Linked DNA regions of Mytilus edulis. Each later gene encodes a partner of the first gene's protein in a complex. Links are inferred from orthologs where the notes say so. Each region holds a gene or a part of one and is shown on either strand. Other genes may lie near its edges.

The links. Proteins that work in one complex are often made in the same cells at the same time.
Region 2: ral GTPase-activating protein subunit alpha-1-like (region 1) and ral GTPase-activating protein subunit beta-like share a complex: the UniProt entries of both Homo sapiens proteins name them as parts of the heterodimeric RalGAP1 complex. The link is inferred for Mytilus edulis from reciprocal best matches to the Homo sapiens genes RALGAPA1 and RALGAPB.

What each region holds. Positions count from the first base shown.
Region 1 is NC_092346.1:61,483,437-61,487,196, forward strand, and holds the start of ral GTPase-activating protein subunit alpha-1-like, read right to left. Parts: upstream 2,842-3,760; 5' UTR 2,756-2,841; coding exon 2,629-2,755; intron 1-2,628. UniProt on the Homo sapiens protein: Catalytic subunit of the heterodimeric RalGAP1 complex which acts as a GTPase activator for the Ras-like small GTPases RALA and RALB.
Region 2 is NC_092346.1:6,423,502-6,427,261, forward strand, and holds the start of ral GTPase-activating protein subunit beta-like, read left to right. Parts: upstream 1-1,019; 5' UTR 1,020-1,134; intron 1,135-3,760. Other genes in the region: tRNA pseudouridine synthase Pus10-like, read right to left, coding at 989-1,009. UniProt on the Homo sapiens protein: Non-catalytic subunit of the heterodimeric RalGAP1 and RalGAP2 complexes which act as GTPase activators for the Ras-like small GTPases RALA and RALB.

The sequences.
Region 1 (3,760 bases):
ACCCCTCATATAAATGTTACAGCGAATGGATCTTAACCATGTTAAACATGCAGAGAGAGAGTGGCAAATTCCCTACACCATAACCAAGTGTTACTAAATACTTTACATGCCACAAAGTCAAACTGTCTTCCCACTTGTTCTGTAGCAAGGGTTTAATAACCGGATCAGGAAAATACATTCAAAGTTTTATATATCGATGTTAACTTCAGTTCACTTAACTTTATTTGTACAATTTGATGTCAATCAAACCAGTTAGGCATAATCATTAAACATAGTTATCACATCCAACCAAACTTAAATAGCATGATAAGTAAAGTAAATATATACAGGATTACCAAAAATTTTATATGAAACAGGCATTACTGTACATGTTGACAGGGGACGAAGTCTGTTTCAATCTTTGTTAATTCACTCATATTTTAATGTTCAAATAGAAAATGGAAATACCGTAATTTTTCCTATGTTGGTCCTAGCCTGTTCTTAGAAATGTTAGTTGTGACATCATTTTTGACACGACATCATTTTCAATGTAAACATAGAAACACTATCATCAGGTAATGTTTTTTTTCATATAAAAGAATAATCAACATTTTTTTTATTATTGTGCTCCATCCTAGGTTTGACTAGACTTATAAATACTTGTTTTACCCAAAGTGTCAGAACACTCGAAACCTGAGGAAAGAAAGAGATTTCTGTGCAAATGCGGGAAAATTAAAGTTTAAAAATAAAAAATTAACACTATCGAGTTCATTAGTTGATCTCATTAGGGTATAAGTGTGACATGGGAATGGCTAATATTTTTAAGCATGCACATGAAAAAAATTATTAAGCATGAAAACAAGAAAAGAGTCCAACAGGACACAGGAAATGACATACGCTTTTAAGGCAACGAGAAGCAGGATACAGGATTCTCACTAAAGAATCAGCTGGATACAGAATCGATATCAGACCCGCTAATTAGTAAGATTAAAGTATTGAGTCCCAAATTACGGTTGAAAATAAATCGGGAAAAGTTCCTGAATTTTTCATTCCACTAATGAACTCAAAATTGTTAACTTTTTTTTCAGACTTTTTTGGCGCAGAATTCTACTTTTTTTCTGGTCTTGTTTGCATGAGACTTTGAATAAAATATATATTTATCAGTCTAGTATAATATAGGATTGGAACTCAATACCAATTCATTTTTAATAATTGTTTGATATGAAAAAACGTAACCCGATGAAAGCGTTTCTTTGTTTACATTGAATATGACGTCATAACTTTAATAACATCACAACTAAATTACTAACAACAGAACCAAAATCGGATATGTAACGTTACTTTAAAATAATTCATACAGACTTCATCCCCATTCATAGGTAATGCCTGCCTCATATTGTTGATATTTCTACTGTAATTGGGGACTTCATCCTCATATTAAAGAGATTGACAGAGATGGCCAAAATATGGTGTGGATATTAGTAGCTCAATGGAAAGAGAGAAAGAAGACTTTTTGTTAAGAGACTTAAATGTGACAGTACAGGGATAAATAGTCAATGCATTGTATGTCCTTATTAGTGCAGTTTGTTCTAGAGTATGAATGATCATTTATGCATACATAAATAATGTATATACATTGAAATGAAAGTATTGGTAACTATTTCAGTGTGTACAGACATTTGTGGGTAACTGGGTTACACCATTGTTGATCAGGCTGAGGGAATCTGGGTCCATTTGCCCTAATTCACATTTGCCCTGATACCTGTTCGCCCAGGGTCCATTCACCCTGATTTTTTTTTCTTCTAATTGTTGTCCATTCACATATGATAATTTTAAGTATTTGAACAAAATTTGTTAAAGTTTGTTGAAAAATTGACAGAATATTTATATTGCTGCAATCAATCATTTTCCCTTCGGTTTACAAAGTAGAATACTGCAATACAATGTATTTCTCTTTATTGATTATGATATTTGTTAACAAAATAATTGTATTCAGTCAATCATGAATGTATACTAGTCTCAAAGTATAATAATAAATGAACTTGTAAACCTCTTTCATGATTTACAGTTCGTACATATTTTTAACAAAACAAAACATTTGATTTTTATTAATGATCCATCAAAAGACAAGTATCACAATAATCAGTGATCCGAATTATTTTGTCATTGAACAATTTAAAATGATCCTGAACAAGCCATAAACTTTTAAATGTTTCCTTGTTTCCATAAATTTCAAGAATGTATACCATAGAAATATCTGAATAAGTTTATTCAACTTCAATGTCCTGAATATTAAAAATTTTGGAGAGTTAACGGACTCGATGCCTATGGGCGAACGAACTCAGGGCGAACGTACCTAGGACATGTTATTAGGGCGAACAAACTCAGGGCGAACGAACTCAGGGTGAATGTACTTAGGGCGAACATGTTATAAGGGCAAACGGTCCCGATACCAGAGTGAGGAGATGATTTGCCTACAAATTACAATACGTCAATAGTTCCAACATTAGAAGACTTTAGTGTAACAATTAAACAAATATAACCATAGTTATACAATTAAAATAATATCCATCACATTTGATAAAGAATTTTGAAAAGGAGAAGGCGGATAACCATCACGGATTCAAGGGTTTATATTTATTTCCGCACCTATCACAAGCCGAAGGTGTTTCAGCCTGGTAATACTGTCTTTCTTGTGGTCAGAAACTTTCTGTGCTGATTTTTTAATATCCCCATGAGTTGTTTTGGTTCTAAACATAGCCAAAGCCGAAGACATTAATCTTATAGCATCAAAATGCTACATTTTTTGTAGGAAAACAGTATTTCGTCTGCAATCCTCTGAAAATGGCGATCGGACGATGCGCAGACGCGAATCTTTATTCCGTTTCCGGAAACGGGTTTCTCTAATTACCAATTTTATCATTATTTCCATTGAGCCAAAATGACCGAAATTAGCTAACATTATTATGATTATTAGAGGTGATACTTTTACTGGTTGATAATTTTTCATTTTGCTCAAAACTCAAAACAAAAATTTAATCTGTCTAAAATGAGAAATAGCGAATTTATATAAAAAAAAGTTAACAATGTATTTTTTATCTCACAAAAACAGCTGGGACCAGTATATAACAGATAACAATAAAAAACAATCGGTCAATTTTACCAAAAAACAGATAAAAACAAATTAGTGACAAGTCACTAACAACTTAAAGCACACATTTTTTTACTAAATAACAGTTAACAAAAATATGAAAATGCTTAAAATACATTGATAGGAAAAAATGCCCCCCTTTCAATGAACTTTAAAAAAAATTCTTTTCATTCGAAACTCATGGACCAATTATTCAAATCATTGTAAGACACTTTATATAGATGTTCTTGTCCGAGAAGACAATATATTTGAAATGAAATTGTAACTCGAAAAGAGCATCATTCAGTTTCGTTGCTGAACTTATGATTAAATGGGCACTAGCTGTCAAATTCATGATCATTTATGTTCACCGATTTCACTCAAATTCTCATATTCGACTTACACTAATTAAGAAAGTCTAAAATAAACAATTATTTAACGATGCATATTCTCGAGATTTTTATCAGCATCTTGTGTTTATTTTAGTCTAGACGTCATCTTAGTTAACCATCGAGATGACCTTTCGTAGGCCCGGCTGCCGACGTTTATAAAACCTGTTGTAAACATAAATATAAAAAGATAATGAACTCGTACAATTTGATTTTCTATGTCTGTTTTAATTTATATTACAGATTAAAAAAGTCTTAAATA
Region 2 (3,760 bases), about 55 Mb from region 1:
GTCATATTGAATTGATTTTTTTAAAATTTTGTTCTTCTATAGTTCTTATCTTAGTGGTCCATAAATAAAACATCATTTCCTTATGTTCTTGTTGGTTAAGTTATAGTAAACCGGTCCTCCATACATGTGTACTACTACTACACATGGGCGAACTTACTGGACAACTGCACTTCCAAGAAAAACACAGGTGACTCATTTGTCTGATTTATTTTCAAATCAATTCTGATGTATCTTTACGGAAATAAGATAATATACATGTACGTAACATTGAGTTTTCAGTGAATAGATTTAAATAAAATTTGATGCAATCTGAATCTAGTCCAAATAATTATGACGTCTTGAAAGGCTATTATAATTTTTTTCTTTGACACCTTACTTCGACGTCATTATAATAGCCTTTCAAGACGTCATAATTATTTGGACTAATCTGAATTATGAAGAAAATTCCAGTATTTTTAAGTAGTGTAATGATTTTAAATTCTGGAATTCCTGAAAATTTTGGCAATGATGAAAAATATTTCCATGGAATTTTTTTTTACAACTGATGTCTTCCATAGGGGGGGGGGGGGGGGGGGTATTTCTGGAATAGCCCATTCTGTCTCCACAAGCTACAATTCGTGTAAACAAAAAACCTGGTAAAAACAGCTTTTGAGAAACATACCAAACTTAATTGCGAGTTCAAATGTCGATCATTGAAAGGCCAACATACATTAAAACCTAAATACTTAAGTATATTTTATCAATTAAAACTAGGGCGAATAAGATCTTGGGACGGGCCAATCTTGGGCGAATATATAATAGGGGCGAAATAACCCGATACCGTCTTCCCAATATAATCACACAACGTGTTTAACATATTGCAAGAATGAAAGGAGAAGAAATTATGTTAATAAACATAAATTGACCTTAGAAATAACACTTTTGGAGATATTTATCAAATGAAATTGCGCAAACAACATATAAAAGCTAATTTAAAAGTTACACGAACTTGAATTATGGGCGCAGCCATCTTGTTCTTTAGCGATTCTGTAACCGGAAGTTTTGAAATTACCTCCCTTCTGTTTTGGACTGACCAAACCCTACCAGAAGAGACTTACCAGATATGCATTTACCATAAAATCAAACAGAAATACGGTAATTTTGTAAAAGAATTTGACACATATATATACACTTCACATATTGCAGAAAATACACCATGATGAAAATAGAAACTGAATGTTTTTGGATGTACAAAATAATGAAAATTGTTGCAGCCGGACATCAGACTGAGTGAGTGAGTCTGAGGCAGAAATTTAGTGTTTATATTGCTGCAACATTTAAGAAAAATTATTATATTCCAATGTCATTGCACCTAAAAATCGTAAAACTTTGATTCTTTCAAACTGATCTTATAGGTGAGGCCTGAGGGTCGTTATGAGGGCAACTTGATGTCAAGTGTCATTAACAGATTAATGACGAATAACAGTAAAATTTTTGCCGAATGATAATAACGGTAGATTTTGGTTTATGACGATACTTTTAGACAATAGAAAAAAATTGGGACTTATCTTCCCCCAAAATGCTGTTTACAATGAATAATTTCAGACCTTTGACGAATAAAAAAAGGGAATTTTGACGAAATCTCAGAAAACTTTAAACCAATATGGCGCAAATAGCAGCCAGAAACGATTGTTTTATGCCTGACATTAAAGGGCATTTCTACCCTTACAGTTGTCAGAGTATATAAAATGATATCAGATATTATTATTTTTCCCAATCATAAATGTTGTAAATACATGTAATGAAATGATTGATTGTTATTCGCTGTATGTCCAAAGGCACATAGTTCTTGCATATTCAAGACAAAAATTTGAAATCTAGAGGCTTATTTCAAAGGACAAGGAATGTAATAGTGATGACTGATGTTCTGTCTTTGGTATATTCATTTTAAATCATTAGTAGAAATAGAATACTTTCAAGGAATGTCCTCAAGATCCTTTTTATGACATCATTCTAGATAGAGGAGGTTGCATGTATCCCTGTACTTTTAAGTTTATAAAGCCTCATTATGCACAATTAGCTGTTCCATTGGTAATTAATTGCAATTTCCGATTATCAATTATGAGAATTTAATTTGTCAAATAACTCGGCAATACAGCATTATTTTTTTTCAACTGCTCTCCCAACATGGGGAAGAAGTTATGCTGCCCTAAAAGGCACATATGATTTTCACTAAAACCTATGTTTTTTAATGGTAAAGCAAACAAACTTGAAAGTGGTCCATTTACTGTAATGCCATTTTTCATATTTAACACATTGTAAAAGACAAGAGTGCCAATATTTTTTCCATGTCTGTACACATGTTTGTATCTCTGAACTCTCCTTCTTTTATCAGATTAAAATTTTGGTATTTTACAGTCACATCAACTTGAAACTAACAAGACCATGTTCATTATGAAGTGATTTTTATTATGATACAGTACATTGTATTTAGCTCTTTCTGAATATATATAGAAAGGTGAAATTACAAGCCAAACATAGTGTCTCATTGAATTCAGGGCTCACACTACTTCAGAATTATAGGGAGAAGTGACTTCTCTTTTTGAAACTGATAGGGAGAAGTGGTGAGATTTGAAAGAGAAGTGCTTATTTGTGTGGTGCGCTACAATGTTTGGATTTTACAATAGTATAAAGGGCCATATGTCAATAATGTTCTTTTTATATTGTTCAATTCATATCTGAGTAAAAAAATTACAATTAAAGTAACATTTGAAATTAAAAGTTGTTGAATTTTTACTAAGGTTCTTGTGAGAAACTACCAAATAAATATCTAGCACTAAAAAAATATTTTTTTATTTTAAAAAATGTAAAGAAAATTATAATATATATCAATTACAATTTAATTGAAAATTATCGTGTGTATGAAATTCAGTGTTTCTGATAAAAAAATATAAAAGTTATTAAGCTGGGCCATAATATATTGATATTAGTGTAATAGTCTTAGAGGTAAGCAACTTTAATCAATAGTTTGAAACAATCCATAAAAAATATAGGAAATTATATACACCAATCAATTAGATGTAACCAAAAGTCTCTTAATGCGTGTGGAATGTGTAATTTTTCCCTTTGGGATCAATATTCTTCTGTCAGCTGTTCCATCCGTGCGTCCGTAGTAATTATTGTAAAAGTACAGATTTCGGTCATAGCTGGTCTGATTCATATCCATAGTTTAGAAATCGGTCAATGGCGGACGAATGCAAGAAAATTTACAAAAATAAACGATGTTTGACAAGTTATTTGGAAAGGAACATGACGTTTTTAATGCAATAAATGGATTAAACATTTACTGGAGGCAGCTTTTATCACGTTTAAATGAAGTAACAAACTTATTTTGCTGCCGAAATTTTGGTTGATGTACGTTTTCGAGTAACAAGCACCGGAACTTGCGGAAATGCACGAAGTGATAAAAAGTTGTATTTTTATCAAATAACCTGCTCCACACTGCGAAGACAATGCTTCAACCTCTTTTCTAAAGATAATGAACTGTTTATGTCTGAATTTCTTAAATTATCAATAAAAAATTGATGTTTCATCAACTTGGTAAAAATTGAAATGTCCGATGACGGAAGCGACTGAAAGCGAGTATCGTCAAGAACAGGGCTACTTGTTTTCGCTTTTGGGGGTTGGGGAAAGCGAAGTGACGGTCGGGAAGGCGACTACTTCGCCCAAGTCGCCTGGTAGCGTGAGCCCTGATTGATAAATAGTTTTTTTTCTAGTTTTT